Linked DNA regions of Canis lupus familiaris. The protein of the gene in region 2 interacts with the protein of the main gene of each other region in a pairwise test. Links are inferred from orthologs where the notes say so. Each region holds a gene or a part of one and is shown on either strand. Other genes may lie near its edges.

Region 1 (9,876 bases), on a different chromosome or scaffold from region 2:
ACTGGGGTGAAATGCAATGAAGAATCAAACTCTGAAGCCCCTGACAGTTTCCATTTGCTCTAGGAGTCTGTTATAAATGAATGAAAACCAGGTTACAGAAGGACAGACAAGTAACTACATATCGAGGACTCTGTAAAAAGCACCATGGGCAGATCATATGTCGCTCTGGCTTGGAGGTTAAGGTCAGCGAGAGCGAGCACACACACATGGAAATATCATTGACTTACCTTGCGCTCCTCAGTTTTCAGTGCTGGCTGCCCAGCTGGGTCTACTGACTCTCCATTCATTGTAGGCAAGATCATGCCCTGCGTGAACTCTGAAAAGATAAAAAATCCCCGCTCCTGGAAGTTATTTCTTAGTTGCTGAGATTTGGGGCCTCTTTAGAGTTTGACAAACATGGCCATCTTACCCCAGAATGAGGTAATGACAAAGAAAGAAAGAGTCTATCTACTTTAGGCCTTTACCTCCGGCCTATGCCAGACAGGTATCTGAGTGTACGCTGTAGAATATGGAACGTTAAGGGTCATTTAAAACCCGACTCCATTAGAAGCATTACAACTTGTTAAATGTACATGAGGTCTACTATGGATAATAGTGAATGAACATAGTGGCACTTCCAATGACTTCAAGAATAGGGCAAGACGCCCTCGGATGCAGATCTGTCCCCCTCCTCCATTCTGCCTCACCTCTGCAAAACAGCCACAACTAGTTCTGGCACCAGAGCACTTTGGTTCCCACCAAAAGAGGGATCACCCCTGACAGTCACTCTATGCACTCCAACACCAAGACCAGAACACACTGGCATAACTGGAATTCTAAGGGAGAGCTCGACTACCTGCAACCTAAAAACCCCCTAAGCGTCCCTGGAGAATGCCTATTAAAGATAGTCTAGGACTGTGCTCGAGCAGTGAGTCTGGGGATGCCAAGTCTTTAGATTAGCACAGTCCAACAGAAATACAAGGTCAGCCTCAGAAAGAATTTTACATTTTCTACTAGCCACATTATAGCCAAAAAACAAACAAGTGAAGTTCATTTTATTAATATACTTAATCCAATATATCCAAAATATGTCAAGGTTATTGTCATAAAAAGCTGTTGATATTTCACATTCTTTTTTTTTGTACAAGTTTTCAAAACCCACTGTATTTTATACTCATGGCACAACTCAATTTGTACTAGCCGTATTTCAAGAGCTCAACAGTCAATAGATTATCAGGCAAGTCATCCCTACATCTTTCCCTTATTGAGATTAAAGACTGACTTTGAGATGAAGAGGCCCCCTCCCCCAAAATGTTCACTCATTTGGCAAACAAAGGACTATCGGATCCCTTAATCAGAGTCTGATGACCGGGGGTGGGGGGAACTATCTCCTCAAGGCATACATTACTACTCAAGGGATACCTGTTTTGAGGGTGCTGATGTAAATTCCCATTGCTTCTCTTAGAAGTTTCACCCCTTCTTCCTTCATTAAGGCCACGAGATTTGTGTCAGGCTCATCTTTGGCAAGGCTCACACTAATCTGAGTGAAAGATCAGAAGTAGGTGGTAAATAACTTGAGGGGCACCCACAATGTGGAATGTGGGTGCTGAGCAATCAGATAACTGCTGACATTTCCAAAGGAAATGTGTGAGGGTTGGGGTATCTTTCCAATCCCCATGAGTGTTCCTCCTCCAGTTCTCTCTGCCAAAGCCAAGGTGGCTAACGTTAGAACACGTTACTAGCTGAAACAAAGTAATTAAATAAGCACAAGCTGTGCCGGACGCTCCCAACAGCACCACAGACCTAGAAGATTATCTGCAGAATGAGGTTCTGAATGGTTGGACCCAGCCTGGGCTTTAATCTTGAAATCATTTTTCTCATCTGAGAAGAGGATATGGAAGACTCAGATGAAGAATTAAGAAGCACAAACCTCTACTTCATCCACACTGTTTTCATCAGATAAATTGGGGATCTCCACATGTCCCTTGTACTGCACTCCGGACTTAGAGGTACCTGTCAAAAGCAATGCAATGTCATTAGTCTCTCCCTCTGCAGACAAAGTCGGCTCTGGACGCCTAACTACTCCTCTGCTTATATTTCTTTTGAACTATTGAACTGACCCTCTTTATTCTAGAGAATGTCAGATACAATCAACCCTCCCCCAATTCCCCAGAAGAAAGGTCTTCCCTCATTAGATCTGCGGGCCAGCTGTGTGATTACCGTACGGGACTAAGGGCTTTGCGGATGTGGCACTAGTGTGAATTCTGCCCAGGAGGATTCGGGTCAATAATCAAGGCAGTCAGTTCTGCTAGGATCCTTGTTCTGAAAATACAAACTTGTTCCCATGCGACTGACCTACTAGAGGACAATCTGATCACAGCATGAATTCCACGCTTCCTAACACGAGACTTCTTCCATGAGAAACACTAGGTGCACACACAGAACCACACCCAGCTGAAAGGAGCCAGACAGGAATACACAAGACAGGATCTCCTCAAACACTTATCTCCCAGCAACCTTAGTTCCCCATGTGTTCCGAGCCATACCACCCACACTGGGGTCCGTAATGTTCCCTCTGATTTCATCAGTTGACCCTCCAAGCACCAATTCACAATAACCCACCTGCTGCAACCCTTCTGATACGATGCCTGCTTTCACAAGTGAACTCCAGATCTTTTTCAAAGTAAAGCAGCACGTTTACTATATTATTCATGTATTTCTTCCCATATAACATGTAGCACTGTGCTATCAATTTTTACATTCCTAAATTTTAAAAACGTGTCACCAGTGAAGGTTTTGGGTGTTGTGTCGTGTCCCTAACCCTATCTTCCCTATAAGCCCTGTGGTTTTGGTTGAGCAATTTTGCACAGTGTGGTGATTTTTAGAACACGTGGGCGACATTATAGCAGAACTGACTATATTTCAAAATTGACCAACAGGACGTTTATTTATCTCCACTTCTCTTGACATCAGCTTCTCAATCTATAAAAAGAGGACCGGGCAAGAGGACACCTAAAGGTTCCTTTCAGACTACCATATTTTAGTAGTTTTTTAAAAGGTCATGAAGATATAGATTTACTTTTCCCCTCTTTATTACCATTTACTTAAGAAATGCTCATTGAAGCACAAATCTGTTGTATGTTTTGCCCCCTACATGTACTCCTTTAGCTTTAGTGCCTTTTGAAATTCAGCCTCCCAACTATCAGGACCATCCAGGTGGGGCGCACACATGGCTCTAATTCTTTGCCAATGCCATCACAGAAGGGACATAAACGAGAGAGTAAAACTGCCCCAAATTATAGTCACATAAAAACTTCATTAGCATAATGGTCTACACTGGTAGAGTCACACTGGAGAAAGAAAAAAAAAAAGATCCATACCCCCCCAAAAATTTCCTTTCCCACCTTTAAATCAATCATCCAAGAGGTAAAAATTAGCTAGTGTGAGAAATGTTACCTCATTTAAAACGTCCTAACATATTTGTAGCCCAAAAATTCAGTGGCCTAACTGCTTCACTGATGGGGACTTGTGAGACCCACGGAGAGAAAAATGCATTTAGTGTTCATCCCCTAGGGGCAGAGAAATTTTGGCACCCAATACTGATTTCCTCAGGACTCCAAAGCAGCACTGTCTCCCTTCAAGAGTTCCCAACTCCCCTCAAACCATTCTCCCTGGCTCCTTAGCAAGTCAAGCAAAATGCAGTTAACTTTTGTCCTAACAGTCCAGCATAGACTTACCTGTCCAGTTTAGTTTGATGCTCCACTCATAAAAGAAGATAAGTTTGCCTTTGCGGTTGTTAATGGATGCCTCTCCATCAAGCTTATTTACTTCGGTCACCTCACATTTGCCTTCCTCATTTTGCACCTGCACTGCCAGGAACAGTGTTTTCAGCTTATCCGTGGACCAATTTGAGGCATCCCTCTCTGTCCTGCAAAACAGAAAATAAAGCTATGGAGCAGCAGCCAAATGGAAGAGACTGCTTGCTCTGTGCAAAAGAATCCAAGGCTACAAGAGGCCTGACAAATAGTTTGAAAAAAAAAAAAAAAATCAGTCCCACTCTAGTTCGTCCACAAGCGTGTTACCCCGTTTTAGGAAGATAAGGACTCCCATATGGTCAACAAAGACAACCACGGCTGCGTGGAATGGTTACAAATCAAACGGAAAATGATGCCTTCCATCCTCAGCAAGATGCTGTAGGGTCAGTATGTGACACTTCAACACGGCGCCCCCGTTGGACCAAATGGAAAACTGTGACCATCTCGCTGAGGTCAGGAGCACAAGAGCGGGCTGTTGAAAGCAGTATTTAACTCACAAGCCCAGTAAGTAATAAACCCATAATCTTGACCTCATTAGCGCAGCGGGCTGACCTGTCAAATTCAGGCGGTGCTAAAAATCCCCTACACGTTCCGTGTCCTCTAGGTGGCCGTGGAAGCAATGTTAAGTCCAGCACCCTTGTACGTTAAGAGGAGAGGAGGCAGGCTGGGATACAGAGGAGAAAAATCACACTCTGCCTCCCCATGTGCTTAACAGTAGAGAAACCAGCAGCAAGAAGAGCCGCCACAGGGGAAAGGTACAGTAAAGACGGTGTGGTGTGAACAAAGTTCAGGGGAGTGAAAAGATAAGGAAATAGTACTTTTAATGTCATAACGGAGAATAGGCTTTTGGTTACATTATAAAGCCACGATTGCCCGGCAACCAGGGGCAGCCCCGGGAGTTACAACACAACCAAATGGAACAGTTCCGGGTGAGAGGCCGTGGCATCCTCAGCATCCCTGAGCTCTCAGCACCTACGGAACACGCTCCGAACCTTTGCCCTCCGGACTCAGGCAGTGGTCCCCTGCGGCTGACTCCGAAGCGCACGCATAAGCCGCAAGACAGCAATTCCAGCCCACCGGCCTCGAGCCTAACACGGCGGTCCCCCGACTCCTCCGGCCACGTGTGGGAAGCACGTCCCGGCTCGCGGCGGATGCATGCATGGGCTCGGGGGTTACGTTCTCGTGCTCCTGGAACCCCTCCTCTGGGCGCAGCCCTCCGCGGCGCCCCCTTGCCCCTCCGAGGAGCCAAACAGCGGCAGGTGGTGGTGTGTGGAGGGGCCCGGGGCCACGGACCCCGTGCCGCGGCGAGGACCTCCCCGCGTGTCCCCGCAGGGCTGCCCCGGGCCCCAGCTTTGTTCCGACCGAGGCTCCGGGGACCCGCACCCCCGGCTGGGCCGGGCCCTCCCGCGGCCTGGCCCGCTCGCTGGCCCTCACCAGTGCCAGTTGTTGACGTTGGTGGCGTCCGCCCGCTCCTCCACGATCCAGCGTGGGTCGCCTTCACCCCACTTGGCCATCGGCTCTCCTGTCGCACCGCCACCAGCGCCCGAGCAGCCGCAGCCACAGCCTCCGGACCGCCTGGTCCCAGCCGCCCGGCAGCGCCTGGAAACTACTAGAAGCGGCCGCAGAACCTCCTGGCTTGCTTTTCCCTCCACCCCCCGCCCCTCCCCGCCTTAACTTCCGGCTCCTCCTCACTCCCTCCGGGTACTTCCGTTTCACCTCGTCGGATTTTACTTTGTGCCTGTTCGAGAGTTCTTTCAAGCTCCCTCGGGTTACCTCGAAAGGGGTCCGAAATGCAACCGCTCACACAACCATTCATCACCCGTAAAGGCCACAAAGAACACGTCCCATTGTTCCCCGAGCCTCTGAATTGGCCCTCCTGAGCCTCATGGGAGTTGTAGTCTTGTTGACTAATCTGCTGGATAACCGCGGAAGGTCGCGCTAAAAGTAAAGGAAACGATTTAAGCGCGGAGCGCTGGGAGTTTCGGGAGTTGTAGTCAAGGAGCCCTGTGTCACGTCCAGAACCGAGCGTGACGGTGGAGACGGAAAGACTACAATTTCCAGCATGCCCTGCGGCCTCAGTCTTGACTCACGTTCCTCCCTCCTTCCGCCCCACCCCGCGACTGCTCGCTTCCGCCTGTTTTCTATGCGGCTCAGTCTGGCTAGGAAGGGTGGTCCAGCGGCGGAAGAGTCTGACGCTGTCCCGAAAGGGTGGGCTCGGTGTGGCAGAGGTGAGGGTGTCCCAAGCCGTTTGGGCCGCGGGTCTAGCTGATTCCAGAGTCTCCGCAAACTTATCCGTTCCCCCCCTATTCTCTGGGGCGTCCCTAGACGCTTCCCCACCCGCCGCCCCGGCCTGACCCTTCCAGTCGGAGCGACCGAGTACGCTCGGGGTTGGGACTGTAAGTGGATTCCAATCCAATCCAATCCAGTCGACACTGGAATTGAAGGATCATTCACTCTGCCGGCGAGGTTAACCCACATTCCCTGGGCTTGGTTCATGGCCTCACAGGGATAGGCCTGGCTCAGAAGTTAATAATTGGATCTGAGTCTCGGGAGCTGGTTTGTGAAGCAGCGAACGTGTCGGTCGTGGAATTTTTTTTTTTTTTTTTTGGCCGATGCCTGTTTTCCTTTGTTGTGTGCTTGGATTTGCTACCCCGTCTCGTGGGCTCCCAGTAAACAGGTGACGATAGGGACAAGCCTCTGCCGCCGTACTTGGGATCATGTTGAAGCACCTCTTTCAGTCACTCTTATAATCGCACCCGGTCGATGTAACTTCTAGAGCCGTCAGATCTTTATCTCCTTCCTTGGCACAGGTAAAGCAAGCTAGGTTCTGATTGGGCCTTCGCAGTACACGTTGGTGTCAAGTGTCACCCCTGCGGTTGCGTGATTTTAAAAAGATTCCAGAAATTCTCTGGGGGATTACGGGGCTCGTTAGACACATCCTATGCTGGTTTGTAAATACTTACAGATATTTGTTTACCGCAGTGAAGTAACGACCTGCATTAGTTTTTCCTAGAGTGAAACAGAGAAGGGCCGTGCGTGTCAGAGTGGAAGGGATCCGGCAGCCGGGAAACCTGGGTTATAGGAGCAATTAGCAAAGTGGTTCTGGTACCTAATCCTTTTGTGCCTCGTATTCCTCGTCAGTGAAGTAGAGATGGAATCTGCCAGGCCCACGTTTGCAGAGCTGTTGTGAGGATGACCGAGCGCTCTAGAAGTTGGCATCTGTGCCGGGGACCTTTCTGTGCTCCATGCAGGTCTTGAGTGTTTGTGATAGCCACTCTCAGGATTTTTGTGTCAGATTATTTTTTTTTTTTTTTTAGATCTTTAGGATTGCTTATAAATATTACCTTTTTTTCTAATTACCATGATACTTTATTAATAAAAATAGTGAGCATTAATTTTGTGTCAGGCACTACACGCTCTACGTATATTAAGTAGTTTAAGCCTTAAAACAATTTTGTAAGGTAGGTGTCTATTGTTATGCCCATTTTACAGATAAGGAAACCAAGATGGAAAGGTGTCCGTAAAACTCCCCATACCAAAAAGAATTGACATTCAGTATTTACTTTTCTGCTAGGTGTTTCCTAAGTCCTCTTTCTTCTTCATTGCAGTCCTGTGAGGTAGGATGTCGTTTTCTCCAAGGTTTAGAAGTAAAATTATCTAAGCAGTTTGCTCAGAATTGGGAAACCAAGATTTGAATTCAAAGCTACCTGCTATAAATAAAGCTTGTGCTTGTCCCACCATGAGGGATGATTTCCTTGTATCTGCCAGCTTCACTTGGCTTTAAATATACAGAAGGATTTTTAAGTTACATCTGGGTTCAGTAGAAATCAATTAGTGATGTCTACCATGGGAAGGGATCAGATAGCAGAAAATTCCCACCATACCTTTCAATCCCTGTATCTCCTGAAAACAAAGGAGCCAGGAAGCGAGAGCACAGATGATTCCCTGGCTTACAGTGATTCAACTTACAATTTTTCAATTTTATGATGATAAGAAAGTGATACACATATATATATACTTTTTTTTTTTTTAAAGTAGTCTCCAGGCCCAGTGTGGAGCTAACACGGGGCTTGAACTCACGACCCTGAGATGAGATCAAGAGATGGACCCTTAACCTACTGAGCCATCCAGGGACCCCAAAAGTGATACACATTCAGTAGAAACCATAGTTTGAACTTTGAGTTTGGATCTTTTCCTGGGCTGGCAATATACAACACAATACTCTTGTAGTGCTGGGTCTTGTAGTGCTGGGGAGCAGCAGTGAGCCACAGTTCCTAGTCAGCCACATGATCACAAGGGTAAACAGCTGATACATTTAAATTATTCTGCACCCATGCAGTCATTGTTTTGTTTTTTTTTTTTTTTAAAGATTTTATTTATTTATTCATGAGAGAGAGAGAGGCAGAGACACAGGCAGAGGGAGAAGCAGGCTCCATGCAGGGAGCCTGACATGGGACTCCATCCTGGGTCTCCAGGATCAGGCCCTGGACTGAAGGCGGCACTAAACTGCTGAGCCACCCGGACTGCCCAGTCATTCTGTTTTTCACTTTCAGTGCAGCAGTCAATAAATTACATGAGATATTCAAAACTTTATTATGAAATAGGCTTTGTGTTAGATGATTTTGCCCAACGATAGGCTGATGTAAATGTTCTGTGCACTTTTGAGGTAGGATAGACTAAGCTGTGCCATTTAACATTTTCCGGGTAGGATATTTTCAACTTATGTTATATTTATTGGGATGTTAACCCCATTACAGGTGGAGGAGTATCTAGAGTATGTTAAGGGCCATCAGAAACTTCAATGGGGACACTTGGGTGGCTTAGTCGGTTAAGTGACTGACTCATGCTTTCGGTTCAGGTCATGATTTCAGGTCATGAGATTAAGTCTCAAGTCAGAGAGAGATGAGAGCGTGATATTTGCCAGTTTTATTCATTACAGTATTTCTGGAACCTAGAACAGTGCCTCCAAGGTGGCACTCAATATATGTTGAATAATACATGAATGCAGTTATCATCTGTTTTGTTGATGCTTTGATTGATCTTGTATATTCAGCAAAACTTGTGATGTGTCCTTATAACTCATGCTTGTCTTGTGCTGTTACCCTTATATGTATCGATGCTGAATACTCCAGTTCTGTTGTAGGGTCCTTCAGAAGAGGGACTGTGTCTTGCATTTTGTAAACATCCCTCAACACCTGAGAGAGTGTCTTGAACAGAGTAGGTGTTCTAGGAATGAATGACTCCTTGTGGGTAATTAGAGGATCAGAACTCTGGTTTGATCAGTTGGAGACCCAATGATCTGATTTTATGAGACAGATTTAGTATTTGTTTTCTCAGCTTCTTTTAAATATCTCCAATTACTGCATGGATGGGGTGGGAGGTAGAGTTTGTGGTGAAGGAACCTAAAGCTTTTGGAGCTCTTTTGAAAGCAGTCCAGGAAAGGACAAATGTCTTATTCTCGCTCTAGATGAATCGGACAAAGGGTGATGAAGAAGAGTATTGGAACAGCTCCAAGTTCAAGGCTTTCACCTTTGATGATGAAGATGATGAGCTCTCACAGGTAGGTTTTCATGAACAGTTGCTGCAGATCACACCTCCGCCACAGTGCCACTCTCAAATTCCTTCTCCTTACATCCTTGGGAACCTGGCTTTTGACTGTGTCTCTATTGGGCTCTATTGTTTTGGGTCAGATCTTCAGAAAAATCTTCATAGAGAAGAGCCTTCGAAAAAGAGCCAGAAGTATTGTAAAAACCAACTCTCTGCTCTTCTTACTTTTATGCTTAAGGTGATTTATTCCTTTCAGTTTCTTTTTCCCCCCCCAGAACCCCAAGTCTTTTATTATGTGATATAATTTGTTATTTTTGAATGATTGAATGATGAACTGGATTGAAAGTTGCTTCTTTATTGCATCTGTTTTACAAATGGGGAGATGGATTTATTTTTGGAGAAATGGATAAACTTAGGCTTACACAGCAAGTCATTGCCAGGTATATGATCAGAACTTAAAAACAGCTTTGATACCTTCTAACTCTTGCCACTGGACTGCAATGTTGGCTAAAAAGCAATGTTTTTTTCTTGGCAA
Region 2 (9,831 bases):
TGGCCTCTGTGAACAGCTGGAGTGTTGATCCTGACCTTCTAAGCCAAACCCGGTGTGTCTCCTGGGACTCCCTACATCTTGTACTGGTCACACATGAACTGCCTCCAGGTCAGCCTGAGTCACCTGTTCTGCGTCCTCACTGCTCCCCCTCCCGCCTCTCTCCTTGGCCCGCAGAAGCCACCCGGCTCCCTATTTCCACAGTTGCCTCTGCAATGCACTCACTCCCCACGTGGCTGCTAGAATCATCTTTCTCAAACCCCAAACCCATCTTGCCAGTTCCTAGCTTAGGGCTCCCCAGTGAGCCTCCCCTCACCCGGAGGGGGGACGGCCAAGTTCTTAGGATGTGTGGCCTCCCCATCTCCCCCTTCTGCCATCACACTGAGTCACCAGTGCTCCTCAGACCTTTGCTACCACTGGCACGACGCGTGGGATGCCTTCCTATTGTGCATTCTCCAGGGGAAATGCCCGCAGCCCAGGGCCATCTATACCTGGCCCTCTCTCCAGGTGGAACTAAAAGCAAAGAATAAAGCCAGAAGAATTCACCGTGTACAGAATTCTATCATTGGTTCTGTGACATAGTTTCACGCTGGTTATCTATAGATTTCTCTTGCCCTAAATGACTAAAAGGCAAGCACCAACGCTGATTGATTCATTCCTAAGTCTCAGAACGTGGATGGAACAGTGCAAACTGCTCACTGTGGCCCAAACGCAAAGAAAATAAAAGCCTAAGTCGTAACAGGCAGCTATTCGTGTCCTTATACTTAAAGGACAAACAGCAGCGGTTAACTTATGTAATTATTTCTCCTAAATCAGGGCCAGGTGTGTTGGCCCACCAGGATGGACTATAAGTTGGAGCAGAGAAGGAAATTCTATCCCTCAGTGCTCGCTTTCACATACTACTTTCTGAAGCAAGCTGCTGAAATTTGGTAGGAGTAAAATTTATTTTAAGCATATGCAATTCACAGATGCTTAGTCAACAGGGTCAGGCATTTGATATTATACTTCAGGGCCTGCAGAGATTTAAAATGTCAAATCCAGCACTTAGTTTCTAACAGGGCTAAACAAACAAGCCACCACCCACCGCTCACTGGCCCCAAACACCCCTCCTGCTCCCCACTGGCTCAGGGAACTTTCTAGACAACTGTATTGACTGTGTCTATCTAAATGTGTAGGAAGGAGGCTGTACCTAGTGACTCTGAAAAAGTGAAAATTTCAGTCAAACCGGTTATTTGACATAAGCTTGGATCCTTGCCTGAATTCAAACTAACCTGCTCATCTCATCCCCATGGGCTGGATGGCAGGCTATCCTTCGAGGTTGTGCAAAGAGCCAACTGTTGCAACTGTCTTAGGAAAGGCGACCTTTTAGGAGGAAGATGAAGAAGAAGGAATGGATGGACAGACGCTAGGATGTCCGATTGGAATGACCCCCGAGAACAAGGTTTATACTCTATCCCCGTATGTGCTGATGGCTTAAGAATAAACCGGTAATAACCAAGGCCAAAAATGTTTCTTACGATGATTTCAAATGTCCAAAAGTGACAGAAGAAAACAAATTGAAAGTAGTTTTGTACAGATCGGAGAAGCAGAATCTGCTTTGGAAACCGTATATGTGGAAACAATGTAGGGGGGAACCGTTCTAGAACTTTGCCCTTTTCTCATATTTGTAAAACCCGACTTTAAATAAGCCCATTTCATGTACTGAGTCCAAAATCACACACACACAAACACACAACTTTCACAGCAAGCCACGGGGCAAAGGCCAAATGCTTCCCTAGGTGGGTCCTAGCTAACATTCTGATCCCACGTGAATTTTAGGGCCTGGGGCACCAGCATGGGGCCAGCTTCCCTTAACAGCCATAATCATCAATTTCCTATCAGAGTTGACTTGCCACTCCTGTCAGAAAAGGTTCAGACACTAGCTGCTGATCCTGAAGTTTAGATCAAGGGGTGTGGGGGGGGGGGGAGTATTTTCTTTTTAAACAGGGCGGGATCCTTCATCTTTACTGACACTGCCTCTAAAAACATTTCAAAACATGTTAGTGCTGTCACGTGGACCAAGTCTAATCATGCAGCACAATGGGTTTTTGGCAATCGGCTTCTTCAAACTTCAGAATGAATTTTTGAAAAATCACGGACTCAGCAACTAAATATATAAAGCCAGAAATAATGGTTACAAACCCACTGGAGCCATCGGCCAGGTAACTGCTGAACAGAGCTCCACGCGTGTGAATACATGAGATACACAGACTGTTGGGCCCCTTTGCAGATTGAAAAAGCGATTAACTAATACAGATCTTCCTTGACTCGCGATGGGGTTATGTCCCCATAAGCCCAGGGCAAATTAAAAATATTTTAAGTTGAAATGCATTTAATCCACCCAACCTACCGATCATCATAGCTGAGCCTAGCCTACCCTCAACGTGCTCAGGACACCTACGTTAGCCGACAGGGGGATAAAATCATCTAATGCAAAGTCTATTTTATATGAAGTGTTGACTCCCTCACATGACTTGTGAAGTCCGTACTAAAAGTGAAAAACAGGATGGTTGTCAGTGTGTGGGGGTTGTCGACCCTGGTGATCACAGGGCTGGCTGGGAGCTGCAGCTCGCTGCCACCACCCAGCATCACGGGAGAGGGCCGCACCGCCTATCACTAGCCTGGGGGGGAAAATCCAAATTTAAAATTCCAAGTACAGTTTCTACTTAACATGCATCGCACATACAATAAAAGATTCTAGTCAAACCATCATAAATCAAGGACCCTCTGTACTTCATTAACGACTTAAAGAATCACACAGTGGAAGTGTTAGTAGAAACTACTAAGATCACCCTTACCCCTTTTAACTCATAATGTCCAGCACATTCTATGCACTCAATAAATACTCTTTGAATTCTGAGATGGACTCAGGAGCCTGGGGCTGGTAACTGCCACGTCCAGCCTGACACAGAGCTGGAACGAGAAGAGACGTCCCGGCTTCCAGGCCACAACCTACTGGGCTTCCTGACCTCTGAACTCCTGAGAGAAAAGAGGGTAGTGGATCTTCACTTGGGATACAATTCAAAATCCTCTCATTCCCTCCTCTTCAACACAGCCTACTAAATCGAGAATGTCTTCAGAGGAAAAGCTGGGACAGGCCCCCCGCACTCCCCAGAGAACCACCCAGGGTCTCTCTTCTGGAGCAACACCTTTACCTTTCCATTTTGCAAGGGAGAGGGGCTTGCTTAACAATCCGCGAGCAGTGTCCAAGCTCACTGCTGCTCTGGCGACTGAGCTGCCTCCACAGAAGGCAAAGCAACTACTGAGTAAAGGAGCAAGAGTCTAGACCACCCAATAGGTGGATGTTTGTTCCAAGTTTCACACAGAGACCAGTCCTAAGGAGCCCGTTCCCTGGTCCTTTCCTCCGCCTCCCAGCACCTGCCACTAGGTGTTTGCACACACCCGATCTGGCTCTCCTAAAACCAGAACTCACAGGGGGCAGTGGAGCTAGGTGGAGGAGGCAGGACTCGCGGGTGAGAAGGCCTGAGTCTGAACCCTGGCTCTGCTTCTTCCTAAATGTAGAAGTCGCTTTACTTCTCTGGACCTCAGTTCCCCCTTTTAATAAAGCGCGTACTCACCACATATGCCTAATGTAAGGATTAAAAGGACGTGTAAGACAGTGCTTGACAGTACCAAGAGCCATAAGAACAGAAGATACCAAATCTTAGGGAAAAAAGGCTCTCTAAACCGAGTAAATTTGCTTGAACAAAACCGACTGAATTTGCTAAGGGTCCTTAACACCTTTGGTAAAAACATCTCCTTTTATATTTTTAATAATTCATCCTTTGAAATTGGTTTTGTAATGTTACTCTAACAGAATGACATCTGTTCGCCCACCCTCACAATCGTGTCCAGGAGCATTCTGTTTTAAGCAAATACAGGACAGGCAAATTAAGCGGTATTTATACATTTTCTTGGAAACACATCTCCAAGCACTAATAGCAGTGTTCAAAGGGGGAAGAGCAAAGAGCTGCAAACACTTCAGGAGTTTTTAAAACACACACACACACACACAAAGTGATGCTTTGGAGGTGCTCCAAGAGTCAATTTAAATTAAGGAGGGCGGGGGGGGCCCTGTAGCAGAGAGGGAGAGACACCACCTGCCTAAGAGGACCCTGTTGCAGGAGCAGGACCACAGCCTCCAGGGCTCCCCGCAGAGATGAAGGGGAGCCCTTCAGACTCCTTAGAGGATGCAGAGCTTTCCACCAGCTCTGTCGGTGAAAAGACTAATCCCCTATTACTGAAATCACCCTCCACCTCCTCTTTCCTATATTTTGCAAGGTTGTTAACACTCCAGATGTTCCAAAAAAGCTTCTTTACATTAGCAGGTAATCTTTCCAGAGACCTTAGCAGTCTCTCCCCTACACCAGTGATCCCCAAACCTGGCTGCCCAGCGGACCCACCAGAGGAGCTCTCGAAGATCCTGATGCCCAGGTCTCAGATCAGACCAAGGAAATCAGGATGTCTGGGGTGGGGGTGGGGGGCCAGACCTGAGTTTTCGTTTGGTTTGGTTTGAAGATCCCAAGTGATTGTAACCCGCAGCGAAGTTTGGGAACCACACCGGCTTGTGCATTAATGCTGCCCTAACCAACTCACTCAGCGCCGGCCAATGACATCAGCAGCAAGTACAGACCTGACTCTTGGAACCCGGGTTGCTTGATTTTGAAATTGTGTAATTAAGCCTTCGGAGGCATGTTTCTCATGTCAAGTGGGTTTATGGCCGGTAGTCACGAAGCCAAGGCTCGCTCATGTTCAGTCTGGACATTCGGCACCGGTGAGCCACGGACATCAGTCCTTCTTTCAAAAAACATCACCTTCAATATTTCGGTTGGCCCAACGTCAAATTCTTCAAAAAGGCTAAAAGGAACATTCCCCCCCACGAGAGAAGTCTCGGGATCTTGAGAAGGAAAGTGTGCCGTGGGCCTCATTTCCAGAAGCGGAGGGGACCTGAGCAGGACGGGGCTCCGTGCGTCCGGGCGCCGCCGGGAGCCTGGGGACGCACCCCACGGGCTGCAGGTGCCGGCAGGTCCCGGAGGTCCCGGAGGTCCCGGAGGTCAGGGGCGCGCGCGGAGCCCGGTGCGCCCGGCGCGCAGGGGGATGGAGAGCCGGACAAGCGCCGTGGGGCCGCGCGCGGGGGAGCCCAGCGCACCCCCTTGTAGCCGAGGAGGGCAGCCCGCGCCTCCTCCCTCCCGGCAGCCACAGGCAGAGGCACACGCGAGACCCCCCCAGAAGGGTGCGCGCACCCCAGGAGAGGGCCCGCCCCGGCTGGCAAGGTCGGGGTGCAGCGACACCCGGGGGGGGGGTGTGCTCGGGAGGTCCGCGGCCGCGGAGGGGGACCCGGCTCGCCCCGAGCCCCGGGGGCGCGCACCCCGCACCCGAGCGCAGCCGGGCCCCGGGAGGAGGCGCGGGGCGCCCCGCGGCCGCCGAGCCCGGGAAGTTGCGCGCGCTGCAGCCCCGCGGGCCCCGCGCAGGGAGCCTGCCGTCCGGCCGCCTGGGACGCCCCGGCCCGGGAACCCGCGGCCGCTCCTCCTCCCACGGCCCCGGCAGGGGCGCAGCCGGCCCTCCAGGAAGCGGGAAAGGAGGGCGGGAGGCGCTCACCTCTCTTCTCCTCCAGCGCCGGGCTCGCCTGCAAGTGCGCCGCCAGCAGCGCCAGGAGCGCGGCTCCCACGGGCCCCGGGGGGCGCATCGCGGCGGGCGGCGGGCGGCGGGGCCTGAGGTCGCGTCTGCGGGGCGGCGGCCGCGGGACGGGCTCGCGGGGACTCGGGCCGGGGACGGACTCGCGGGGACGCGGGCGTGCGCACCGTGCCGGGGGCGGAGGCTGCGGGCGCGGCGCGGCCCGGACGTCTAGCTCGCGGGGGCGGGGGCGGGGGCGGGGGCCGGGCCGGGCCGGGCCGCCGGGGGAGGGGCCAGGCGGCGGCGGAGGCGGCGGCGGGAGGAGCCGAGCGGCCCAGACGGCGGGCGGCGGCGCCCCGTCCCGGGGACCCGGGGACCCGGGCGTCCCTCCGCCCCCCGTGCCTCCCCCTCCCCCCCGCCCCGTCCCGGGGACCCGGGCGCACCTCCGCCCCCGTGCCTCCCCTTCCCGTGTCTCCCCCTGGCGGAGCAGCGCCCCCCCGCCCCGTCCTGGGGACCCCGGCGCATCTTCGCCCCCGTGCCTTCCCCTCCCATGCCTCCCCCTGGCGGAGCAGCCCCCCCCCCCCCCCCCGCCCCGTCCTGGAGACCCGGCGCATCATTGCCCCCGTGCCTCCCCCTCGCGGAGCAGCACCCCCCGCCCGGCCCTGGGGACCCCCGCGCATCCCCGCCCCCCGTGCCTCCCCCTGGCGGGGCAGCCCCCCTCCCCCCCGCCGCGTCCCGGGGACCCGGGCGCACCTCCGCCCCCCGTGTCTCCCCCTGGCGGAGCAGCCCCCCTCCCCCCCGCCCCGTCCCGGGGACCCGGGCGCCCCTCCGCCCCCCGTGCCTCCCCCTCCCCCCCGTCCCGGGGACCCGTGCGCACCTCCGCCCCCCGTGCCTCCCCCTGGCGGAGCAGCCCCCCCTCCCCCCCGCCCCGTCCCGGGGACCCGGTCGCACCTCCGCCCCCGTGCCTTCCCCTCCCGTGCCTCCCCCTGGCGGAGCAGCCGCCCCCCCCCCCGCCCCGTCCTGGAGACCCGGCGCATCTTCGCCCCCGTGCCTCCCCCTCGCGGAGCAGCACCCCCCGCCCGGCCCTGGGGACCCCCGCGCATCCCCGCCCCCCGTGCCTCCCCCTGGCGGGGCAGCCCCCCTCCCCCCCGCCGCGTCCCGGGGACCCGGGCGCACCTCCGCCCCCCGTGTCTCCCCCTGGCGGAGCAGCCCCCCTCCCCCCCCGCCCCGTCCCGGGGACCCGGGCGCCCCTCCGCCCCCCGTGCCTCCCCCTCCCCCCCGTCCCGGGGACCCGTGCGCACCTCCGCCCCCCGTGCCTCCCCCTGGCGGAGCAGCCCCCCTCCCCCCCGCCCCGTCCCGGGGACCCGGGCGCACCTCCGCCCCCGTGCCTTCCCCTCCCGTGCCTCCCCCTGGCGGAGCAGCCGCCCCCCCCCCCCGCCCCGTCCTGGAGACCCGGCGCATCTTCGCCCCCGTGCCTCCCCCTCGCGGAGCAGCACCCCCCGCCCGGCCCTGGGGACCCCCGCGCAACCCCGCCCCCCGTGCCTCCCCCTGGCGGAGCAGCCGCCCCCCCCCCCTCCCGCGCCCCGTCCTGGGGACCCGGCGCATCTTCGCCCCCGTGCCTCCCCCTCGCGGAGCAGCACCCCCCGCCCGGCCCTGGGGACCCCCGCGCAACCCCGCCCCCCGTGCCTCCCCCTGGCGGAGCAGCCGCCCCCCCCCTTCCCGCGCCCCGTCCTGGGGACCCGGCGCATCTTCGCCCCCGTGCCTCCCCCTCGCGGAGCAGCACCCCCCGCCCGGCCCTGGGGACCCCCGCGCATCCCCGCCCCCCGTGCCTCCCCCTGGCGGAGTATCCCGGGCCCCGCGCCCCGCGGCCACGCCTGAGGCCCAGGCGGGTAATGGCAAGGATGGGAAAGCACCCCGTATTCCGGGCGCCCCCACCCCAACGAGGCAGCCGAGCCGCCGCTCTCAAGTCTGGGGGCCCGTGGCAGCCCCGCCCACCCCCGACCCCCTGGGACCCGACTCCGGGCTCACACCCGGGCTCGCAGAAGAGCTGAGTGGACGCGTGAGGAGCGACGCGCACGGCCAGGGCTCCCCGGGAAGCTAACACGCGCGCTCAGTCACTTCGCAGAAGATCAGCGCTTCCAATAAAGGCTCCAGACAAACCGCACTGGAGACCCTATTGCAGAAGCCAGGTGCCCCCCGCCCCCCCTCCTGAGACAAGAGGGTCACTCAAGCAGGAGAAGTGCTGGGAAGTCTGCTAAGGGTTTGGCCAGAAGCAACTAGATTTTCTCCAGCTGCAGAAACTTTTTTAAATTTTTTTTTATTGGAGTTCCCCCGGTGCTCATCCGGCCAAGTGCCCCCCTCAGTGCCCGTCACCCACGTCACCCGGTCACCTCAACCCCCCCTCGCCCACCTCCCGTTCCACACCCCTTGTTCGTTTCCCAGAGTTAGGGGGCTCTCGTGTTTTGTCACCCTCACTGATATCTTCACTCATTTTCTCTCCTTTCCCTTCAGCTGCAGAGACTTGAGCTGCAGAGACTTGAGCTTTTGCAGAGCACCGCCTCTCCTCACTGCTCCTTCCCAGAGGGGGCAGGTGGCCGCTGGCCCCATTCTACAACCAGATCCCCTGCTGTCCTGGCCAGACTCACTAGTGACATTCATCCTGGTCCAGCCCGGGGTGTTCTCACTGTTGGAGTAGGAATCCCCAGCCTAAAGCAAGGGCACTTAAAGTCCAGAACTCTCCTGTTGCTGGAGGAGGGGTCCCGAGCACAGGGCTTCTCACCACCCCTAGAACCTGTGTTTTTTTCATCTGAATTTAGATTCATTCTTGTTTGTTCCTTTGTTTTAACAGGTAAGAAGGAGCACTGAGCCTGCTGAACTCATTTAGCCCCTGGTGAAGAAGGCTGTGAAGATCCTGTAGACCATGTTTTGGTTTCCTCCACATGTTCCAAACAGGACTTCCAGCAGTTTGCAAAGAAACACAAAGACGGCAGGAACACAAGTTGGGGAAGAGCAAACCAGAAACATCACAGCGGAACATAGGATGAATCTGGAAGTGGGTCTTACAGAAGAGCTGCACACGACAAAGTCCCTAACAAAGGGGCGTACCTAACAAAGACAACAGAACTGACTCTAACACTTCTGTCAAGGAATACGGGAGGTGGCACAAATCAGAGTATCTTTATGTTAAAACATTCAATCAATTAAAACTACAATGAATTTTTTTTAAAGATTTTGTTTATTTATTCACAGAGACACAGAGAGAGACACACACACACACAGGCAGAGGGAGAAGCAGGCCCAATGCAGGGAGCCTGACGTGGGACTCGATCCCGGGACTTGATCCCGGGACTCGATCCCGGGACTCCAGGGTCACGCCCTGGACTGAAGGTGGCGCTAAACCACCGAGCCACCCGGGCTGCCCAAAAGTACAACGAATTTTTAAGACTGCATTAGCAATTTCTCGCATGGGCCCCTCAAAAGAAGACAAAGTGTCAAGATTTTAGAGTTCTCTCTAGCCACCTCTTTGTTGCAGTATGAACCTTTATAGTGATGTTTTGTTCCAACAACCTTTGATATGATCTGATGGTATCTCAGGAAGCAAAGCCTTATTAAAACAATTACTCAAGGAGGCAGTGGGACACTTCAGGCAGACCACCTGGTACTGGGTTGATCCCAAGGAATGGAGAGGAATGTGTGACATTAACATCCTACTGGGACACCTATCTCAGGTTTGAGTTTCTCCTCTGAGTTTGTGATAAAGGGGTGACATTCCAGATAATTTTGTACTTTTTGGCAGGTAGTGGAGTGGTCTGAAAACGTGCTGCTTACAAGGTGAAAAACTATATGACCGAGCTGGCAGGAATGGCATCCTCTTAAGAGAACAAAGCTTTGCCCAGACTGGGCCCTGCATAAAGGGTTCTCAGGCACCCAGTGTCTGCAGAGAGTGCTCCCAGGGCATATCCCAGGCCATATCCCGGGCAAGAGCCACTGCTGCCACCACCCTAGGAATAGCAGGAGCAGCCCCAACTGCATGCTAAGCACTGATCAGAAGTGAGCTCAGCTGACCCGTTAGCTACGTTATACTCTGTTTGCCTTTTATAGCAAGATGACACTGGCTTGGAAAAGGTTAAATAAATAACTTCCCCGACATACCAAAGTAGAATTTGTGAGTCATGAAGCCAG
Region 3 (9,670 bases), on a different chromosome or scaffold from region 2:
CTGAGCAGTATTGGATTGGCTTAAATAAAAAAAAAAAAAACTAGTTGATCTTGGCTTATTTCTTATTTTTCATTGTTTCCATTAACTTAAACTCAGATTCCAATAACTATAATAGTATCACACCCCTTTGTTGGCAGTGTCAAAGGAAAAGTAGATTAAATAGGCTATAAGTACCAAAAAAAAAAAAAAAAAACTTCACCACAACTGGATATTATCCTAGAAGATAGTGTGATAGCACAAAAAAGTTTGCTATCCTTGGGTCCTTAACCTTTTGGTCAGTTGGACTGGCAGCTGAACTATGTTGTTGAAGAAACCATTGGCCTAGAACTGTTCCTCTCACTATGTTGGTGCTGATGCCAACAACTGCACTATTAGTTTTGTTCTTTGAAGTTATTGGCCCATATTAAAATAATATATTTGGAGAGTTAAAATTCAGGTATATAACACATTTGAATGAGTAAATTTATCAGGGTTTCTATTATGACATTTAACTGAAAATAATTTGGAAAGTAAAGAACTAGGGAGCAATTGCTTGAAGAGCAGACTTCGAGAACCCAGGGTAGAGGAAACATTATAGCACTAGACACATGCCAAGATGAGAATGCATAAAAATATGCTTAAGACCTGATAAATGCGTTTGGAATATTCACCGTTTTTAAAACTATTTTATTTATTTATTCATGAAACACAGAGATGTAGGCAGAGGGAGAAGCAGACTCCATTCAGGGAACCCGATGTGGGACTCGATCCCAGTACTCCAAGACCATGCTCTGAGCTGAAGGCAAATGCGCTTAACCGCTGAGCCACCCAGGTGTCCTGTGTATTCACCGTTTTGTTAGTCATGAGACTAACAAAGCAACCAGACCTTTGTGTATTAGTGGATATCAATTCTAAAAAGTATTAGCATATAATGGAGTTAAAATTTAAGAAGAGCATGGATGTTATCTAGTGGTAATTTGTCGCTATTTTGTATTTTATGATTAAGTTTTATAATATAGTAAATTTTAAAATAAGTCGTAGTACATGTATAAGATAGAGTGAACGGTTATTCTTTTTTCTCAGAACTAAGTACATGAATTTCAGACACCCAAATAGAAAACACAAAACTAAATTCATTTAAGACAGGGAATACTTTATTCAAACCCATCAGAGAAATGGACAGCTTGAGTCTGTAACAAAGCGTCGTGTTTTAAAGCATAGGTCAGTAATTATATATGAGAGTATACACTGCTACATACAAATTAACTGATCAGAGCACTTTTCAATGTTCAAAACAGAATAAGCTTCCCTGTAAAAGCAGCACCTTTGTGACATTTTTAACTTTAGTATTCCTCTCCTTCTTCTTCACCCTCTCCTTCAACAGAATCCACACCAACCTCCTCATAATCCTTCTCCAGGGCAGCCATGTCCTCACGGGCCTCAGAAAACTCTCCTTCCTCCATGCCCTCACCCACATACCAGTGAACAAAGGCACGCTTGGCATACATCAGGTCAAACTTGTGGTCCAGGCGAGCCCAGGCCTCAGCAATGGCTGTGGTGTTGCTCAGCATGCACACAGCTCGCTGTACTTTGGCCAGGTCTCCACCGGGTACCACAGTGGGAGGCTGGTAGTTAATGCCCACTTTGAAGCCAGTGGGGCACCAGTCCACAAACTGGATGGTACGCTTGGTCTTGATGGTGGCAATGGCAGCATTGACATCTTTGGGAACCACATCACCACGGTACAACAGGCAGCAAGCCATGTATTTACCATGGCGAGGGTCACATTTCACCATCTGGTTGGCTGGCTCAAAGCATGCATTGGTGATCTCTGCTACAGAAAGCTGTTCATGGTAGGCTTTCTCAGCAGAGATGACAGGGGCATATGTGGCCAGAGGGAAGTGGATGCGGGGATAGGGCACCAGGTTGGTCTGGAACTCCGTCAGATCCACATTCAGGGCTCCATCAAATCTGAGGGAAGCAGTGATGGAGGACACAATTTGACCTATCAACCTGTTTAGATTAGTGTAGGTTGGGCGCTCAATATCGAGGTTTCTACGACAGATGTCATAGATGGCCTCATTGTCTACCATGAAGGCACAATCAGAGTGCTCCAGGGTGGTGTGGGTGGTGAGGATGGAGTTGTAGGGCTCTACTACAGCTGTGGACACCTGGGGGGCAGGGTAGATGGAGAACTCTAGCTTGGACTTCTTGCCATAATCGACAGAGAGACGTTCCATCAGCAGGGAGGTGAACCCAGAACCGGTTCCCCCTCCAAAGCTGTGGAAAACCAAGAAGCCCTGAAGACCCGTGCACTGGTCAGCCTGTTAGAAAAAAGGAATAGAGAAAACCTATTACTGCTCTTTGCTATATCATCATAAGTACACAGATTTCCACTTTTCATACAACTCCAACAATATAGATCTTATTTTGACAAGAAATGTTTTTAATTTTTTTATTTATTTTTATTTTTATTTTTTAAGAAATGCTTTTATTTTTTTTTTAAGAAATGCTTTTAAATACATGTAGACCTTCCTAGACTTCCTAAGCATCTTAATTAAAAATATCTGCATTAACATTTATAAAACAATACCCAAGTAGTTCATGTTTCAATTGAATTAAAAAAAAAAACTGTAAAGGAGTAGTTCACCTCACTCTATTACATTTCAATTTTGCATTTGAAATGAAAAACAAAACAAAACAAAACATCGTATCTCAAATGTCTTCCTTCAGATCCTTATTTACTTTATTCTTGAGAATAAACATACCAGTTTCCGAATTCGGTCCAAGACAAGGTCAATGATCTCCTTGCCAATGGTGTAGTGCCCTCGGGCATAGTTATTGGCAGCATCTTCCTTGCCTGTGATGAGCTGCTCAGGGTGGAAGAGCTGGCGGTAGGTGCCAGTGCGAACTTCATCTGGAAAAGGAAAACAAGGTGGCCACCCATCACTAACAACCTGCATGACCCTGCTCAGCCCCAGGCTGTCAGTGGAGCCTCAGACAGACCTCCTGTCCCAGTGCCCCGGGAGCTCACTTGGGTTACTGAGGCCAACTCACCAATGACTGTGGGCTCCAGGTCTACAAACACTGCCCTGGGCACATGCTTGCCAGCGCCCGTCTCACTGAAGAAGGTGTTGAAGGAGTCATCTCCTCCCCCAATGGTCTTGTCACTTGGCATCTGGCCATCGGGCTGAATGCCGTGTTCCAGGCAATAGAGCTCCCAGCAGGCATTGCCGATCTGGACACCTGCCTGGCCAACGTGGATCGAGATACACTCACGCTATGGGAAGGAAAAGAGGAAAATTGTAAATTAGGTTGTGGTAGCATTTTGAATTTTTAGTTAATTTTTGAAAATATTTCTAATAATATACAGGTATTCTTCAGGTTTAGTTGAGATTATCCCTAATTCAATAGAAATGATTAAGGAAAGCACCTGCTACAAATGCTGCAGATGGGTGTGGTCTGAATAATAATGTTGCACTGTTTCGCACATGTGCAAGCCCATTGTTTCCAGTCATGCTTAAATATAATTTTTTTATTTAAAAATATTTAAAGCACGGATTTTGTAAAATGAAGCAAATTAAATTTAATCATTAATTAGTTGGAATCAATATTACTATTCTTGCCCCTTTAAATAAGAGTTTCTTCTACATATGACTTGGTATTTTAACATGGACATCTGTGCTGCAGCTGAAGCTAGATGCCACACCCCTTTGCAGTGTATCTGCAGAATCCATTAGTACTAGGGGATTGGAAGCTAACAAGGTCTGCCTCCTGCACTGCTGCATTGCTGCATTTGCTGTGCCTGGTACTAGCCTATTCTGTCTGCTACATTATTTAACAGAGTAAGTTCTATTTCCAGAAACTGCCTACATGATCTCATTGTGCTATTAGCCAGTTTTCCTTCTGTGACCCGGGCTGGGACCATATGCCTAAACTGAAATGAATTAATGTAGATTCACTAGAACAAAAGACAGCTGAACAGAGAGTACATAGTTCTTTGTCTGCAGCATTTTCATTACTTAAAAAGATGTCCTTCCAGAATCTTCTCCACTGCAAAATAAAAAAAAAAACCCTGAAAAATTATTAGAATCTTTAAAACAATAGTTCCTAAATTAGAAAAGTATCAGAGGACCTACCTAAGAATAAAAGCTCAGTGCAAGGATAATGAAATATTTATTTAAAATAATAAAATAGTATTTTCATTCTGAGATTCTCTACTCACCACAGAATATTTCTACTCATCACGTTGAATAAGAGATTTTCTTCCCTATAGTCTTTATGGCTACAGCTTCCATTGTCTAGCCATTGTCTATTCACTGACATTTGGGCGGGGGTTGGGGGCGGGGGGGTGGGGTGGGGAAGGGCGTTTCCCTGGGTCCTGGGCAGTAGGGTACCCTGGCTCTCAAAGTGAGCTTTTTCTCTTGCTGGACGTGCCGTGCGGCTAGCACACAGACAGACAGACAGACACATACACACACACACACACACACACACACACACACTCACTCCAGTCAGGGCGGGGTCGCCCCAGACCAGACTTTAAAGGGCTTGTGAAGAGAACTGTGATTTTGCATCTCAAGAAAGAAATATTTCATCTACGTTTTAACAGTGAATGAAAAACCTTTTAACGCCTACAGTTCCACAACGATGAAAGGCTTTTAATAAAAGTCTCCGACAGAGGAGGCTTAGAGAGGACGAGCGAACCCCGCCCCGCGGCTCCAAGGCCGGAGAAGCCAGAAACAAACAACTCCGCCCCTGCGCCGCCCCGACGCCGGCTGCCCGGGGTTCCAGCAGAAACTAGCCATTTTCCCCCGTGCAGACGCGGGTATCTCCCTAGAACGCCACCGACCCCGGAGCGATCTTCTTCCTCTAGCCCGGGGCTGCGCTTTGTCCCGCTCCTCTCCCCCTCCCCCTGCCCAACTGCACCCGCCGCGCCCGGGGCTGGGGGACCTCTTCTCGCCCTCCCCCTGGGACCAGCGCCAGGAAGAAAAGCCTGTCCGAGCCACACATACACCGGGGCCGCCTTTCCCTGCCCCAGATCCTGTCGTCACCGACAGACGGGCTGCTCGCGGCTCGGAAGGGCTCAGATAACAAGGACTCGCTCGGCGCCGCCTTTGTTCTTCCCCACGGTTCTGCTGCGCCCCGGGCGCAGTCCTGGCTGCGCTCCCGCACCCGCACCCGCACCCGCACCCCGCGCTGCGGCGGCGGCCGGGCTCGAGGATTTGGGGCAGCGAAGCTACACCTCGCAAACAAAGCATAAAGGCTGACCCTTACCCAAAGAAGCTGTAAAGGAAAGAAGGAAAGAGGGCTTCAGGTTTTCCCAGCAGATCTTGGGGGACTGACCCCACCCAAGGGCCACAAAGAGCCAGAGAAGGAAGATTCTTACCATGGTTGCTGCTTGGCGGCTGCCGGGCGGATGGCGGAGAAGAGGAGAGGTTGTTGCTTCTTACAGCGCGACTCTTAGGCGGTCGATGTAAGAGAACCTGCGGCACATGGGCGGATGCGGCTCCCTATATACAACTCGGTCACCATGGGGATGGGCTGGGGCCTTTTCCTGTTGGTCCAGACCCCCTCAATCTGCCCGGAGAAGTCACGACAGGAGAGTGGTGATTGGTGCAAGCAACATGGGATGAGGTAATCTCTCCCCCACCCCTTTTTCCCTAGCATCCATAGACTGTTTGCATCCTCCAGACAAAGAGACTGTGCAAAAACAGTCAGCCGAGCATCCATGATGGGGTGGGGTTGGGGGGCGGGTGGAGAAAAGAAGAAAGAAAACTTGAATTGGATGATTTTGCTATTGCTTAAACCTCACACTTACAGTTAAAATCACCAGTGTAGGTTTTTTTTTTTTTCTCCAACACTTAGATCGCAGAATTTGTGTTCACATGAAATATTTGATGGAAAATTACTCCCAGCTCCTCTCTCAAAATATACTAAGTTCTACCACATTCGGTGAGGCTTCAACGTCTCTAATTGCTTTATAGATAAAGTAGGAGAAAAGATGGGAATGATGCTTAAAAAGGCTTGGGTGCATGTGATTTTTTTTTTTAATATAAAAAGAAGGTTCAGTAATAGAGCCATCCAAAATGGCTTTTGAGGTTCAAGTAATTTATCTTCAGACCTTCTTTTGCACCCCTCCCCCAAATAGCTAAACAAAAGGGAGGATGGAAGAAAACCATACTAAATATGGAAGCACACAAGTAGTTCTAACACGGTGATAATTAAGATCTAAGAAACCTACTGTAGTTAAATAGTCTACTAGAAATACTCTTTTACCAGAAGTCTGTGTGATTACTATATTTTATGTAGTGTATTATTCCTTAAGATGAATCATCTTTCCTGATAACAGAATTGAGAAAATACAAGGAGTTCAGAAACTAGTTCTAGTACCTGTGCATGCAGTTATTCTCGGCATTGTTCTCCCCGCCCCCCGCCCTTTTTCTGGAAAGGAAGAGAATAACTAAGACATCAAATTTAAAAGGAGAGCTGTATAATGTAAGAAAGAAGACATTTTATAATTTTGTCTCCATCCACAGACAAGTTTGTCAGCTCGATAACTGCATTTCTTTTTTTATGTAGTTCTTGTGTGAATTCAGTAAATCTTCTCAGAGATTGGACTTCTAACTGTGGGAATTGTAGACAGCCTCACACCGTTGCTATTCAACTAGAGACTGTGGTGGTTGCTCAATTGCCTCTTGGGACAAAAAGGCTTTGCTTTCAGCCCTAGGAAATGGATTGCAGTAACATTCTTTTGCTATTTAGAAAGGCTCTATTATCAACAAAGATGGGCTCTGCAGAATAAGACTCTGGACTGATTACCACCTGACGTTGCTAATGGAATTTCGGAGGTAAAGAAGTTCGTTATGACCACCGAAGCTGAAAATTATATTTTGGCAGATGATTTTTATGTTCAGTTTTCAGCAACAGATTTTCAGGGTCTGCAGCACCATTTACAGTGCTCTGCAGAGCCCATTCATTCCTGCTGGGCTGGCAGGCAGAGCAGGCGTGGGAGGGAGGGACTTGAAACAGCTGCTGCAGGTTGTGGTGTGACAATGGCTGCCGTGGATTTTTCTAGTCTGCTATCCATAGCTGTGCTTTACTTGTTCAAATTTGCTGCAGTAGTCTCCCTAGAAAAAATAAAACCCGGCACACATATCATATTTATCTACTTCTTGCATATTTTATAGGAAAGATAATCTTCAACATCATCTTATCTCCATCCTTTTAGCAAATAAATATATTTCAGTAAAAAGACAGGAGAATTAAGGACAACTCAAATATTTCCTCACCTAGAAGTACATTTAATTAAAATAAGAATTAAATGGCATTGGGGAGTATAAGGATTTATAAGTAGCTCATTGAAAATACTTCTTATAAAATTGTAATAAGTCAAATAAATGAAACACTACTGGACCATGGTAAAGTGTACAAATCTTTCCTTATGGAATGAGAGGCAGTCTTGAATTTTATTTTCTTTACAATATAAAAGAAATATGTCATTTCCCCAATAGTCTCAGTTCTTTATGCAGTTACAGAGGATTAAATAAAAGAGAGGCGTGTTCATGCAATTGATTCTTTGTAATTCTATCTCAGAGCTATTCTGTTCCTTATGCAAATGAGGATTTTTCTTCTCCTCTTGAGCATAAGTAACAATAAGATCTAGGTCAGAAATAGATTATTTGAGCACTGATAATCTTAAAAGTATAAATGGGAGAGCAGGGGGGAAATAACTAATCTATTCTTTTTTCCCTCATTATCTGACTTACTAGCATGTGGACTATTAAAATTTTTTTTTTCTAGTTCACCTCTTATTTTTTCCTACCAATCTCTTTAGCTTACATAAATATATATCTCTAAGTATTCTACTAATAATTCATTCGTGTCCACTGTAAGATTAGCATAAAACATCCTTTCTTTTATAATATTTGTAGAATTTAAATTATTTATTTGTGTATCTACACCCCTTCTCCATTAAAATGTGAATCCTAGTCCCTGGCAAAGTGCCAAGCATACACTAGACATTATATATATGTTTGTTGATTTAAATGAACGGTTTCTCTCTGTGCATATTTTCACTAACTACTCTAACGCCTAGTAATTTAAGGGCATTTAACCAGTATTTTGTTTTTTTTAAAAAAAGATTTTATTTATTTATTCATGAGAGACACAGAGAGAGGCAGACACAGGCAGAGGGAGAAGCAGGCTCCATGCAGGGAGCCTGATGTGGGCTGAATCCCGGGACCCCAGGATCATGCCCAGGGCAGAAAGCAGGCTGCTAAACCACTGAGCCACCCAGGGATCCCCAGTATTTTGCCTTTTTTATTCAAAAAGCATTTACTGAGTGTCTACAGTGAGCTCTTGACCATCCTGGATAATGTGAGTAATTCAGAGGTAGTAGCGTGATCTCTTTTCTCTAGAGTCTTTCAATCTAATTGAAGAAGTAAAACAAGCACATGTATATAGGAGAACAGCATGTGTTTGTGTGTATAGGGAGAGGAGCTTTGTAGAATCCATTGCATGTATTATAACTTACGTAGGAAACAAGTTGTATAACACTTTTTTTCTTCTTAATTCTTCATCTCCTATTTATCCCTAAATCCATTCAATCTGGATTCTGCTCTTACCACTCCTTCGAACCAAATGCCCTCCATTGTTGTTGTAAATCCACTGGATACTTTTCAGTTCTTGTTGACCTGTGATTAGCTTTGTCACAGTTGATATCTCTTTCTTGGGACACTTTCTTCCCTTGTCCTCAGAAACTCTACATTTTCTGGGTTTCCCCCTTACATTTTTTTGTTTCTTCTCTGTCACTGCTGGTTCCTCCTCCTCTCCCAATTTTTAAATGTTGGCATTTCTCAAGGTTCAGTCCTAGATTCTTTCCTCATTTTATTCCATATGATCTTAGTCACTCCTAGTAGATGGTAAGTGCATTCGTTCCCAAGGCTTCAAATCCTTTTTATATGCCCATCAATTATTAACAACTCCTTTTAGTTCCAGATTGTGTAGTAAACTTCCTGTCTCTGGCAGTTTCCCACAGGTATCCCAAATTGAACTAGTTATCTTCTCATAAATATGCACCTCTTACAAGGTTCTCTTGCTCAGCAAATGGAGTAGCACACATTTGGTTTCTCAAATCAGAAATGAGAATTACTTTTGATATCTTCCTCTCCTTTTCTAACCACCATAAAATCAGTCTCTGAGTCCTGTCAGGTCTACCTCCTGAATCTCAAATCTTGTTCTTTTCTATCTCAACTGCCTCCATTCTAGTAAGTACATCATCTTTTACCTGGATGTCAGTGCCCTCCTAGATTTTCTATACATTTACTCTTTCTTACCCTTATTCATTTCAGTCTTCACACAGCCAAAGTGATCTTATGATACATCTCACAGGGGCACTTAGGTGGCTCAGTGGTTAAGCGTCTGCCTTCGGCTCAGGGTCCTGATCCTAGGGTCCTGGGCCAAGTCCTGCATCAGGCTCCCCTTGGGGACCCTGCTTCTCCCTCTGCCTATGTCTCTGCCTCTCCCTTTGTGTCTCTCATGAATAAATAAAATCTTAAAAAAAATACATCTCACAGATCATGTCACTCCACTGCTTAAAGCAGATCAATGGCTGCCTGTTAGTTTTAAGATGAAGATCTCAAATCCTTAATATGGCTGCTTTAATTCCATAACGGAAGTAAGTCGTATA

What was found.
Region 1: the proteins of EGFR (region 2) and AHSA1 interact in a protein complementation assay, tested with the Homo sapiens proteins (2 studies listed by BioGRID and IntAct). The link is inferred for Canis lupus familiaris from reciprocal best matches to the Homo sapiens genes EGFR and AHSA1.
Region 3: the proteins of EGFR (region 2) and tubulin alpha-1A chain interact in binary tests that used the Homo sapiens proteins (3 or more experiments, as listed by UniProt). The link is inferred for Canis lupus familiaris from reciprocal best matches to the Homo sapiens genes EGFR and TUBA1A.

What each region holds. Positions count from the first base shown.
Region 1 is NC_049229.1:50,571,470-50,581,345, reverse strand, and holds the start of AHSA1 (activator of 90 kDa heat shock protein ATPase homolog 1), read right to left. Parts: upstream 5,470-9,876; 5' UTR 5,309-5,469; coding exon 5,229-5,308; intron 3,908-5,228; coding exon 3,717-3,907; intron 1,993-3,716; coding exon 1,910-1,992; intron 1,520-1,909; coding exon 1,402-1,519; intron 317-1,401; coding exon 228-316; intron 1-227. Other genes in the region: VIPAS39 (spermatogenesis-defective protein 39 homolog), read left to right, coding at 9,262-9,354. UniProt on the Homo sapiens protein: Acts as a co-chaperone of HSP90AA1. Activates the ATPase activity of HSP90AA1 leading to increase in its chaperone activity.
Region 2 is NC_049239.1:5,956,751-5,966,581, reverse strand, and holds the start of EGFR (epidermal growth factor receptor), read right to left. Parts: upstream 5,738-9,831; 5' UTR 5,723-5,737; coding exon 5,635-5,722; intron 1-5,634. UniProt on the Homo sapiens protein: Receptor tyrosine kinase binding ligands of the EGF family and activating several signaling cascades to convert extracellular cues into appropriate cellular responses.
Region 3 is NC_049248.1:41,236,659-41,246,328, forward strand, and holds tubulin alpha-1A chain, read right to left. Parts: upstream 5,470-9,670; 5' UTR 5,372-5,469; coding exon 5,369-5,371; exon of another isoform or gene 4,518-5,368; intron 3,260-4,517; coding exon 3,037-3,259; intron 2,897-3,036; coding exon 2,748-2,896; intron 2,304-2,747; coding exon 1,323-2,303; 3' UTR 1,112-1,322; downstream 1-1,111. UniProt on the Homo sapiens protein: Tubulin is the major constituent of microtubules, a cylinder consisting of laterally associated linear protofilaments composed of alpha- and beta-tubulin heterodimers.